Lonchura striata: one gene and its partners. The protein of the gene in region 2 purifies or fractionates together with the protein of the main gene of each other region. This does not show direct contact. Links are inferred from orthologs where the notes say so. Each region holds a gene or a part of one and is shown on either strand. Other genes may lie near its edges. The genes, in order: PAXIP1, KMT2C and NCOA6.

Region 1 (3,741 bases), about 1.1 Mb from region 2:
TGGTTTCAAGAATCACATAGGTAAGAAAAATAGTTTCCTCCTGGGGAAGTGGGACAGGCCTTGCAGGCAGGAGGGTAACAGTATTTTTATTTTTACAGGTGCCCTGTATTTTTATTTCACTAAGTCTTTCAATGCCATCTCTTAACATTGCTCTGAGTGTGGGAGGGAGTCATTGTCCACTTCAAAGTATTACGAGGATGTTCAAAACTCTTTTGGAAAGCTGAGTGCTTATTATATAGATAAAATGATATATTATCTAATATTTGTATTTTAAACATCCTTGTCAATGCAGCACTGTTTAAAATATATGACATGAAGCAGGCTCTGAAAGTGCTCGTTTCTTTCTGTTGACTCCAACCTATAGAAAGTAATAATAATTGTTTTCTGTTACCTAAAATAGGTAAGACACATCCCCCTCTAGGTGGGAACGCTTCACTATCAACGTAGATGGATGCTTTGCAGTTTCTGAGGGAAAATACTTTATTTCGGTGGGGCTCGATGACCTTAGAGGCCTTTTCGCACCGTAGCTCTGATTTCGGGAGCAGTCGGTAGGTTCACACATGAGCTGGCCGGTGGAACAGACCCACGCATTGGCGGGCGCTGGCTGCGAGGGGCCGCGCCGCCATCGCCCGCGTCCCCTCACGGCGGGGCCGAGGGCGGGGCCTGGGCGCCCCGGGGCGGGGCCAGGGGTGGTTGCCTTCCCTCCCCCGCCAATGGGCGGGGCCGGGTATCCCCGCTGCCCGCCTCTGTCGTTCGGGGCGAGTCCATTGCATCCCGCGCGGGGGGAGCTGCGGACCCGGATGCTGCCTGCCGGTCCGGTTCGGGGAAAGAGGGAGGAGCAGGGATAGCGCCTGTGGATCAGAGGCGGGCGCGGCCCTGCAGCAGCCGTGGTGGCTGATCGGGCGGGGGGAGCCGCTTTGCGGGGGCGGCTCTCCCCTCCCCCTTCCACCCCCCCTACGTCCCGGTGGGGGATGGTGTGTCCCGCAGCGCGCGCCTTGCTCGCGCGGTTCGGCGGCTCTGCGGGGGGAGGGGGACGGGAGAGACCCGGGCCCCGGCGGGTTTCGCACGGTGAGCGCGGGGAATAGCGGGCAGGGGGGAGCGCCCGCTGCTGCCGTCCGGGACCATGTTGGCGGACGACGAGGAGGAGCTGAAAGTCCCGGAGGAGATGTTCAAAGACGTCAAGTTCTTCGTGGTGGGAGACATCGACCCCAAGGTACCGGGTCATCCCTTCTTATCATTCCCGCCTTCCCTTTCGTCTCCCCCCCATCCCGACGTGGGGGGGGGCACAGTGGAACCGTCCGGCTACCGCGCGCGGGCTCGAGGCTCGCGCCGCCTCACGGGGAAAGGGCGGGAGCGGGGGGAGCGCGCGCCTGAGGGACCGGGCGGGATGGCTGAGGGGGGGAGGGGAGGCGGCCGGTCCAGATCCCGGCCCCGATCCCGGCCCCGATCCCGGCTGTGCCCGCGGGAAGCGCCGCTGCCGCCGCCATGGGAGCGGCGGCCCCGCCGCGCAGGCCCCGCCGGAGCCGCCTGAGCGGAGGAGGAGCGGGCGGAGGGACTTCCTGTGCTGAGCCGGGCCGGGCCGGGCGGGCAGCGGGGGCAGCGGCCGGCGCTCCTCCGATTCGGGCGCTCCGCAGGCCCGGCCCCTCCCTGTGCCCGGTTCCGTACGGGTACGCAGGGACGGGCCGTGGGGAAGGCTGGTCACGGCGGGCCGGGCTGGCTCTGCCCTCCCACACAGACCTTCCCGCCTTGGCGCGGCCCCGAGCCCGGACCCGCTACCGCCCCGGGGCCGCCGCTGCGGGGCTGCTGTGGGTTAGGCCGGGGGCCGCCCGCCCCTCTCGCCCTGGGCAATGCAGGTGGCCTGGCCGTGAGTAACACCCGTGGTGGGCGAAGGTGGTTGAAACAAAGTTTTGTGGCTTGTCCAATTAGATGCTTGAAATGCAACCTGCGGAGGTTTAGGACAGCGGCTTCCTGCAAGCAGGTTACTGCCTGCTTCACGCTGAAGTTAAAGTTCTTTGCCTCTCTGGTAGTTGCTGTAGTAAAGTCTTAGTTCAGTGTTGGTTTCCTTTATCATCCTGTCCTGACGCTCACTAGCTGTGTCCTGGAGGCACAGTCACTGGCCTGTTCAGATGGATTTCATTCCTATTGTGCTAAAATAAATACAGTCTAGGAAGAATGCAGTTGACAGGATGAAAACTTCTTTAGACAGGTTTCTAGATATAAAACTTAGTTCTTTAGGCATTAGGTCTTTAGAGATAAATTTTTTGATAGTGGGTTAGCACTCAACAGATTCCTGTACTTACCAAAAAACCCTACAGCAGCAGTTAGTATTATGTGTATGAGGGTGAGTGCAAAAATCCTGTAGCACTGTTGTACATAATTTGTCATTGGAGTAGTGTCTTGAAAAGCCTGTTTTAGTCATGTGTTGACATGGGAGGACAATTAGCAGATTTTCCATAGAGCAAATAGACAAGCATTCTCTTAAATTGGTTTTCTTTCTCATGCTAAATTTTATTGTTCTTTGCAGTCAGAGTCATTGTCATAGAGCTTTGATATGCTCCAAATTTGGTGCATTGAATGTTCCTCTGCCTGGCTTGGAGGCTGAGCCCGGTCAGAGTGAGGAGCTGGGCTGGGCTGAGCTCGGGGCCAGCTCCTGGGAGAACCCTCTGTACCGGCTTCAGCCCAGCTGGCAGCTAAGCACAGCACAGCTGCTCTCTCACCCCCACCCCTGAGCAGTGTAATGGGGAGGACATTCAAAAATTAAACTTACAGGTTGAGATATAAAAGCAGCTTAATAATTGAAAACCAGGTAATGGTAAATAATTGAATACAATGGTAATGGTAAATAATAATGCTAAGAAAAAGGGAAATAAAGGAAACCTTAAGCAAGTGAGGCACAATACAGTTGCTCACCGTGCACTGACTGATGCCAGACATCATTCCTGACCCCAGATCAGCCCTTCTTATGGGTAACTCCCCCAGTTTATATAGTGGGCATGACTTGCTTTGGTGTGGTTGGCCAGTTTGGGTCACCTGTCCAGGCTGTACTCCCTCCCAGCCTATTTTATAACTCCTTACTGGCAGAGGAAATCACAAAAAAAGTAGTCCTTAGGATAAACACAACTTAGGAAAAACCAAAACATCAGTGTGTTACCAACATTATTTCCATTCTGAATCCAAAACACAGAACCATGGCAGCTACAGAGAATAAATTAACTTTATCCTTGCTGAGACCAGGACACCCTCCTGTGGGTGTCCTCTGTGGTACCCTGGGACACCTGAGTACGAGGAGCGTTTATCAGGTGTGTTTTGAGCCAAGACAGAATACAGAAATTGTAAACCAAACTCAATCAGTTCTTAGAGTGAAATTTGTCCCATGACAAATAAAAAAGTTACAAATATCTTTGGCACTTTTTACTGCTTCACATACAGGTGGATGCCAGCTTGATTTTGCAGAGAATTTCCTCCTTCATCTTCTGGGAAGGAGCACACTTTGATCAACTTAAATTTCTAAATAGTTTCACAGAAAACCAGTTACTGTAATAAATATTAAAACACCTAGCACAAGTGAGCATGCTAATCAAAACAGATTCAAGAGTAAGAAGAAAAAAAGTAATTTTTTTTCAGGTGAATAACTGCATACCTACATTAAAGCATGTGCAGCATAAATTGGAAGGGAAGCAAAAGTCTGGAGTTGTGCCGAGGTGTTCTCTGGCACATGGAGGAGTTAGGTTGGCTCTCAGC
Region 2 (3,741 bases):
GCGCTCCCCCGCCTCCCCTCGGAGCCCGAGTCCCCGCTGGCCTCCGGGACACGTTAAATCCCGTGTAATGAGGCTTAACCCCGCCCCGCAGCCGGGCGGGCGGGCAGGCAGCCAGCCAGCCGGGCCCCAGCCCGGGGAGCCCCCCCGCCCCCAGCGCCCGCAGCTGTTCCAGCCGGAGCTGCTGGAAAGCGGCCACGCTCCCCAGACTTTGTCTCCCTCGCACACAGCGCTGAACTCTGCTCCCTCCCTCCTTCCCATCCCCCGGGGCGCCCGCGGCTCCCCCCGCCTGCACCGCCCCGAGCCGCAGACGCGCGGCGGGGGAAGGGGGAGCGCTCCCCGCCGGGCTCCAGCCGCCTGCCCGGGGGCTGCGCGGGGCGAGCGCTGCCCCCGGAGCCGCGTCCCGCGGAGGGCAGCCCGTGTGCGGCCGCTCGCATGCAGAAGGGGCTTTTCCTTTTCCACGGCGAAATTAATAAAAAGAAATAACAGGGGCGGGGGAGCGGCTGGGGCAGCGGTGCGGGGTGGGGTGCGCGGAGCTCCCCGCGGCGCCGCGTCCCGTCCGCGCCCCGCTCCGCGGTTTCCCCGCAGCCCGGCGCGGCCCCAGCCCAGCCCGTGAGGTCGGCGGGCGGCGGATGGGTGTCTGCGCCGGGGGACGGGCGGCGGGCGGGCGGGGCAGGCGCAGTGTGGGGCCGCGGCAGGGGAGGAGGAGCAGGGCGGTCGGTCGCTGTGTCTGTGTGTCGCACTGGCGGGGGGGAAGGGAGCCGGGGAGGCGGGGGTTACACACCAGGGCAGCGCCGGGATCCCTTCTCCACCCCGCGGGGAGGGGGCAGGGCGCCGCCTCCTCCTCCTTCCTCCTCCCCCTTTTTCACCCTTCCTCCTCCTTCTTTCCCCAAAGTTAAACTTCCTGCTCCCGGCCCGGCTGGGAAGGGGACGCGGAGCCCGGCCGGACTCAGCCCCTCGACACACACAACAGCTGGAGCTGTCAAAACTTCCTCCGCTCGGCCTCGGCCCCCGCCGCCTCCGCCGCCGCCGCCCGCTCCTCCTCCGCCCCCGGGGGCTCTGCGCGGGGGGAGGGCGCAGGGCCAGGGTACAATGAAGCGGCGGCCGCCGCAGCCGGGCAGCGCAGCAGCCGGAGCCGCCGCCAGCGCCCGGGGCCTCTGAGCGGGGGCGCCCAGCGGCGGGACCAGCCGCGTCTCTGCCGCTCGCTCTCTTCACCTCCCCCAGCCCCGACAGACCCCGCCGAGCCCGGGGAGGGTGTTATTGTGTGTGAGACCCTTCCTTCCGTCCTCTGCGCTTTCTCTTCGCCCCCCCCTTTCCCTCCTCCTCCTGCTCTCCCCATGCTGCTCCCCCTGCTACCTGTGCTGGTCGGCGGCGGCTGAGGCCAGCGATGCGAGGCGGAGGTGGAGGAGGCGGAGGTGAGGAGGAGAGGAGCCGCGGGAGCAGGAGGAGCATCGGGATCCCCATCACCATCCTCATCTTCATCCTCATCATCATCATCCATGTGTCTCTCTCGTCCTGCTGACTAGGATGTCAACGGAGGACAAGAGTCTGGTGGTGGCGGTGGTGGAGCCGCCTCAGCAGCAGCAGCAGCCCCCCGAGCCTGGAGCTCCCCCCCCAGCAGCAGCAGCAGCAGCCACAGACAAAAGACCTAGGGGCCGGCCTCGCAAAGATGGCGCTTCCCCTTTCCAGAGAGCCAGAAAGAAGTAAGTTCAGCGTTTGTGTGTGCGAGGCAGAGAGGGGCCGGGGCAGGCGGCCAGGCGCAGGCAGAGCTGTCAGTGGAGACTCGCTACTCGCCCCCTCCCTCTGCCTAATGCCATTTTGAGAAGGGCCCTTCTTTCTTCTCCTCCTCTCCCCTTTGCACTTTCCCCTCCTCCTCCTCCTCGTTTTTCACCTTTGTCTTCCTCCGCCCGCTCACCCTTTTCCACTTTTCTTTCACCATCCCTATTCCTTTCTTCTCCTCCTTCTTCGGAGTTTCTCTTTAGCTCTTCCCCCTCCACCCTCTTCCTCCTTTTCCCCTTGCCTTTGCACCTTCCCCCTTCTTTTTGGGTCCGTTCCCTTCCAGGACGCTCGGCTGCCTTCAGCGTCGCCTGGGTAGTCCCTGTGCGCTGACGGTAGTTCCTCGTCGCTTTCCCTTGTTATGCCCCCCCCCCTCCCCTTCTCCTCCTCTTTTTTGGGAAGGAAAACACGGTTCTGGGCGGGTGGCGGGCAGGACACCCCCGCGCCCCCGCGGAGTTGAGGCAGGAGTTTCTCGGCGGCGCGGGGAGCTGTCAGCGGCCGCCGCACGGAGGGACGCGCCGGCGGGACGGTGCCGGAGCACCGCAAACCCGCGGAGCATGGCGGGGGAGCCGGCTCCCGGCCGCCGGCAGCTCTCCCTCCGCCGCGGCCTCTCCCCGCCGGGGGCGCGGGCGCTCGCCCGCCCCGGCGCCTCCCCCGCCCCGCCGGGCGCTCCCCGGGGGCCGGCCCGCTCCCGCAGCCCCGGGCGGGGATCCCGCAGCCTCGGGCGGGGATCCCGCAGCCCCGGGCGGGGATCGCGCCGCGCCGCGCTGCCCGCGGACGGAGCGGGGGTGGCCGCGGTGCCCGGGAGAGGCCCCGGCGGCCGCTGCCCGGGGAGCGCCGCTGCCGCGCTGGCTCCGCTCCCCGCGGGTTATTTTAGAGTGGGATGGAGCTTGCCATGGCATAGCTGATGGCAGCGGTAATAGGGCAAAGCTCCACGTTTGGCCGAGGAGCGGCAGGAGGTGACCAGAGCGGCTCCTGCGCTGTGCGGTCCGTCCGAGCCTCGGGGTTCAGAGGCTGTTCCTTCCCTTTGTTTTGGGGGACGCGCTCGCTTTGACAGTGCCGTGTTTGCCCTGGCTCTTCCTTAAACATCCTGGCCCATCCCAAACATCATTGTTCATTTCCGTGCCAGAATCATTTCGGTTGGAAAAGACCTTTAAGGTCAAGCCCGACCATAAGGTCACAGTGGAAGTCCACAATATGACAAGGGATTCTGCTGGGCTGGACCTAAACACATGCAAGGACCGTGCATCTTTTATATGAGTTCGTTTTTACAAATATATAAGTATCCCAGGACAGAACTATCATTAGTTTGGGATACATGATTTTTTGTTCTTGTTATTTCCATTGATGAAAGTTTACCTGCAAAGATTTTCATGTCACCTCTGGTTTTGGGGAAGGTGTGTTGTTTCCAGCTCCCTCTTTTCATTATCTTATGTATTTTCCTGATAGAATTTTTAATACAGCTGTCGTTGAAAGTAGTTGGCATATGTACACGTGGTGAAGTTCTTGCGTTCATCTCCTTTATGCTTAGTTTTACATACTTTGGTTTTATTTTTACTTACAGAATCCAAACCTTACATAGGAAACCTTTGAATGTTTTATTTTGAAGGAAATTTTTCTGAAGAAAAATCCAAATGCAACTGAAATGTACCAGTCTACACAAAAAAACCCCTAAATAGTGTTATGTGTGAAAATTGGCATATCTTGTTAGGCCAGTTTGAGGTTGTATATGCACTCTTGAGGAAAAAATGTATGTGTTAAAGAGGTAATTCCTTGCCTTCAGATAGGTTTTTGGTGTCATGGGAATGTTGTTGCCTAGGTTTTGGGAGAAATAAAATATTCCTGTAAAATATGAACTTATTCTGACATGATTATAAGGATTTATGTAAAAGTGGGAAATTAAATTAGCTGAGACAAAAATTAAAATGAATCAATACTCTTTTTGTTCACACTGATTGTTCCTGACTG
Region 3 (3,741 bases), on a different chromosome or scaffold from region 2:
GGTCCCGGTGTCCCCGCTGTGTCCCGGTCCCGGTGCCCGTGTCCCCGCTGTGTCCCGGTGTCCCCGCTGTGTCCCGGTGCCCGTGTCCCCGCTGTGTCCCGGTGCCCGTGTCCCCGCTGTGTCCAGGTCCCGGTCCCGGTCCCGGTCCCGGTGTCCCCGCTGTGTCCCGGTGTCCCCGCTGTGTCCCGGTCCCGGTCCCGGTCCCGGTGTCCCCGCTGTGTCCCGGTGTCCCCGCTGTGTCCCGGTCCCGGTGTCCCCGCTGTGTCCCGGTCCCGGTGTCCCCGCTGTGTCCCGGTCCCGGTCCCGGTGTCCCCGCTGTGTCCCGGTCCCGGTGTCCCCGCTGTGTCCCGGTGTCCCCGCTGTGTCCCGGTCCCGGTGTCCCCGCTGTGTCCCGGTGCCCGTGTCCCCGCTGTGTCCCGGTCCCGGTCCCGGTCCCGGTCCCGGTGTCCCCGCTGTGTCCCGGTCCCGGTGTCCCCGCTGTGTCCCGGTGTCCCCGCTGTGTCCCGGTCTCAGTCCCGGTGTCCCCGCTGTGTCCCGGTGTCCCCGCTGTGTCCCGGTCCCGGTGTCCCCGCTGTGTCCCGGTCCCGGTCCCGGTCCCGGTCCCGGTGTCCCCGCTGTGTCCCGGTCCCGGTGTCCCCGCTGTGTCCCGGTGTCCCCGCTGTGTCCCGGTCTCAGTCCCGGTGTCCCCGCTGTGTCCCGGTGTCCCCGCTGTGTCCCGGTCCCGGTGTCCCCGCTGTGTCCCGGTGCCGGTGTCCCCGCTGTGTCCCGGTGTCCCCGCTGTGTCCCGGTCCCGGTGTCCCCGCTGTGTCCCGGTCCCGGTCCCGGTCCCGGTCCCGGTGTCCCCGCTGTGTCCCGGTCCCGGTGTCCCCGCTGTGTCCCGGTGTCCCCGCTGTGTCCCGGTCTCAGTCCCGGTGTCCCCGCTGTGTCCCGGTGTCCCCGCTGTGTCCCGGTCCCGGTGTCCCCGCTGTGTCCCGGTGCCGGTGTCCCCGCTGTGTCCCGGTGTCCCCGCTGTGTCCCGGTCCCGGTGTCCCCGCTGTGTCCCGCGCTCTCCCCGGGGGTCGCGGTGCCCCCCCCGCCCCGCGCGCTCGGGCGCAGGCGCGCGCGGGTCACGTGCGCGGCGCAGGCGGCGGAGCGGCGCTGGAGTCCCGGGCCGCGCGCGACCCCCGCCCCGCGCGCCCCCGCGGCTCCGCGCGCGCCCCCGGCGGCGGCGGCGGCGGGTCCAGGTGAGGGGAGGGCGGGGCGGGGCGGGGGTCGGCACGCGGCCGCGGCGGGGCCGGGGCCGGGGCCGGGGCCGGCCCGGGCGGGGCGCAGGCCGAGCCCGCGGCGCGGGGGAAGGGGCGGCGGGGCCCGGCGGGGCGCGGAGCGGAGCCGAGCCGGTGGCCCGGGCCGCCGGCGGCGTCTCGGCGGTGCCGGCGGAGCCGCGGCGCCCGGCCGGAGCCTGTCAGCGCGCGGCCGAGCCGCCCGCGGCCCCGGCGCGGAGCCGCCCCTGCCCGGCCGCGCTCGGCCCGGCCGCGCTCCCGGGCCGCGGCTCGGCCCGGCCCCGCCGGCCCGGGAGGGACCGCGGCCGGGCCGGCGGCGCTGTCCGGCGCGGGCGCTGCCCGCGGGCCGGCCGCTGCGCGAGCCGGTCCCTCTGCCCTGACCTCATGCGGGCGGTGACGGCTTTGTGCCGTGTCAGCCGGGGCGCGTTGACGTTTCGCTTTTGTTCGCGTCCTCGGTGAGTCTTAAACCAGTCGGAAAAAGGCTCTCCACTCCTCCTCGCCGTGTGATTTCTGCGTTTCTCTAAATGCCAGCTACTTTAAAACCATCTCAGGAAGCTCAGAGCTCTGCTTCCTTCCCGCTGCTTTGGGGAATGGAAGGACAGAGCTCTTCTGTGGCTCTGCATCCTGGCAACAGGTTGGAGCTTCATGAGCTTTGTCTCTCCATAACCCCTCAGCCTCCTTATAGACACATGTTTGATCATTCCCCTCACTGGGAACTGTAGGGAAACCTTTATACGAGGTTTTATTGTAGTAAAACCTCTCTTAGAAGAACGTGCCTCTTGGTGGTCTTGTAATTATTGTGTGTTGTTCTGGCTGGATTTTTAGCTAAGGCGCCTTTCAGTATTTCCTGTGTGTGGAAACAAACACAAAGAACAAATCTGGCACCTTCCATAAAGGTTACCAAGTGTAATGACCACAAGATTTGGATTTGGCAGCTCTTTTCAAGTTGTAGCAGATGGTCCCAGCTTTTCTAGGTATCTTGTGGAGCGAGAAACAAAGGTTTTGAAGCGTGTGTTCAGAAGGGCCAGGTCTGGGCCTGGCGAGGTGTTTGCCAGAGATTCTAAGTATCCACTGAGCCCTGTGGCTTCCTCTGAAACTTACCTGGCTCCAAGAGGAAATGTTTTATAGTAACACTGTGTCCGGACTCTCCTGGGAGAGGAAAGATCCGAACGTGAGGGGCTGGCTGCACGCATACCTCATCTTCAGTTGAGAAATTACATTTCTTAGTATTTGAAACCCAAGGAAGGGTCTTCTGTTAGGCATTGGATTTGGGCTGAAAATCTCTCAGCAGCGCTCTCCAGCCATTTTCTCTGGAAGGCCTGTCCTTCTGTAGTAGGACTTGGAGGACTTGTAGGACTTGGTTGTTTACAACAGGCTTCCAGGTGATGGAGTAATTTAACATTTTTCTAGTAAAAAAGTAGATGCTTCTCTGACATAAGAATTCCAAGTCCTTGTGCATCTGGAAGTGTTGGTGTTTCCATTTTTCAGTGGCTTAAATATTTGACAATACAGGTTGTGGAGGTAAATTGTGCTGAGCAGCTGTAATGCCACTCTTTGTGCTGCCTGAGCACAACAAAGGTTCCTGCTTTTATGGGAGATGTTAAATGTTTCAGTGTGATAACTAAACCTTAAAGTGGCAGTATATTTTTATTTTCTTAGTACAAGAGCAATTGCTTTCGGATGGAAGCTGGAGTTACCACCCAATTAGACACTCACTAAATTTACTAGATTTGCAGTGGCAAAGGATTTGCTGCTGAAGGGATTGAAGAGTTAATGTGACTGTAACAGTTTGCATTGAGAATGGCGAAATTTTATAGGTTGCTAGCGAACCTCTGAAGGGCAGAAGGCATGATGAGGGTGTCTTTCAAAGTCCTGTGGTCTCTGTTGAGAAATGCAAAGCTGTGGTGCAGGGACAGTGTGAGGGAACAGGAGGCCTGCTGGTTGTAGAGCACTGAGCAGCAGGACTTCACCCTCAGTGCTGCAAAAACTGTATTCAAGCCTCAGCTTTTTCCTTAATGCACCAGCTGGACCAGAAGGAATGAGAAAGAATGTGTAGGGCTGGGAATAGGTGAGGACCAGCAGTGGAAGGAGAAATAACCCCAGGTGATACCAAGTTGAGGCAGCAGGGAAGATGAGGTTTTCCATCTCTGGGTGAGTCTCTCCATTTCCACCAGCCAGACAAGCAAGTCACCTTTGCTTTAGCAGAGCCGTGGATATTTTGTGCTTTGTCTTGACACTGTTGCAGACTCTGTTGTCCCCTCAGGAGCAGGTCTCTGATGTTCTTCAGGAGGAGCCACCCATTAATTGCAGATAACTGAGCATTTCAGCCACGGAGTCAGCGTGTTCCTGCATGGAGAGCTGGAGGTTTAGCTCAAGAGGATGAAGATAACTTAGATTGTCTTGTGCCCATGCTAATTAGAGTAATGCTGCTGGAGTTTAAAATTAATCTAAGATTTGGATTATGCAGGCTGGTAGTGGAAGT

The links.
Region 1: the proteins of KMT2C (region 2) and PAXIP1 purify together in Homo sapiens (affinity purification with mass spectrometry; 4 studies listed by BioGRID and IntAct, with this or other methods). This does not show direct contact. The link is inferred for Lonchura striata from reciprocal best matches to the Homo sapiens genes KMT2C and PAXIP1.
Region 3: the proteins of KMT2C (region 2) and NCOA6 purify together in Homo sapiens (co-immunoprecipitation; 7 studies listed by BioGRID and IntAct, with this or other methods). This does not show direct contact. The link is inferred for Lonchura striata from reciprocal best matches to the Homo sapiens genes KMT2C and NCOA6.

The regions. Positions count from the first base shown.
Region 1 is NC_134603.1:149,369,920-149,373,660, forward strand, and holds the start of PAXIP1 (PAX-interacting protein 1), read left to right. Parts: upstream 1-897; 5' UTR 898-1,123; coding exon 1,124-1,213; intron 1,214-3,741.
Region 2 is NC_134603.1:150,420,634-150,424,374, forward strand, and holds the start of KMT2C (histone-lysine N-methyltransferase 2C), read left to right. Parts: upstream 1-1,108; 5' UTR 1,109-1,412; exon of another isoform or gene 1,413-1,523; 5' UTR 1,524-1,524; coding exon 1,525-1,700; intron 1,701-2,025; exon of another isoform or gene 2,026-2,190; intron 2,191-3,741. UniProt on the Homo sapiens protein: Histone methyltransferase that catalyzes methyl group transfer from S-adenosyl-L-methionine to the epsilon-amino group of 'Lys-4' of histone H3 (H3K4).
Region 3 is NC_134619.1:14,165,119-14,168,859, forward strand, and holds the start of NCOA6 (nuclear receptor coactivator 6), read left to right. Parts: upstream 1-1,151; 5' UTR 1,152-1,223; intron 1,224-3,741. UniProt on the Homo sapiens protein: Nuclear receptor coactivator that directly binds nuclear receptors and stimulates the transcriptional activities in a hormone-dependent fashion. Coactivates expression in an agonist- and AF2-dependent manner.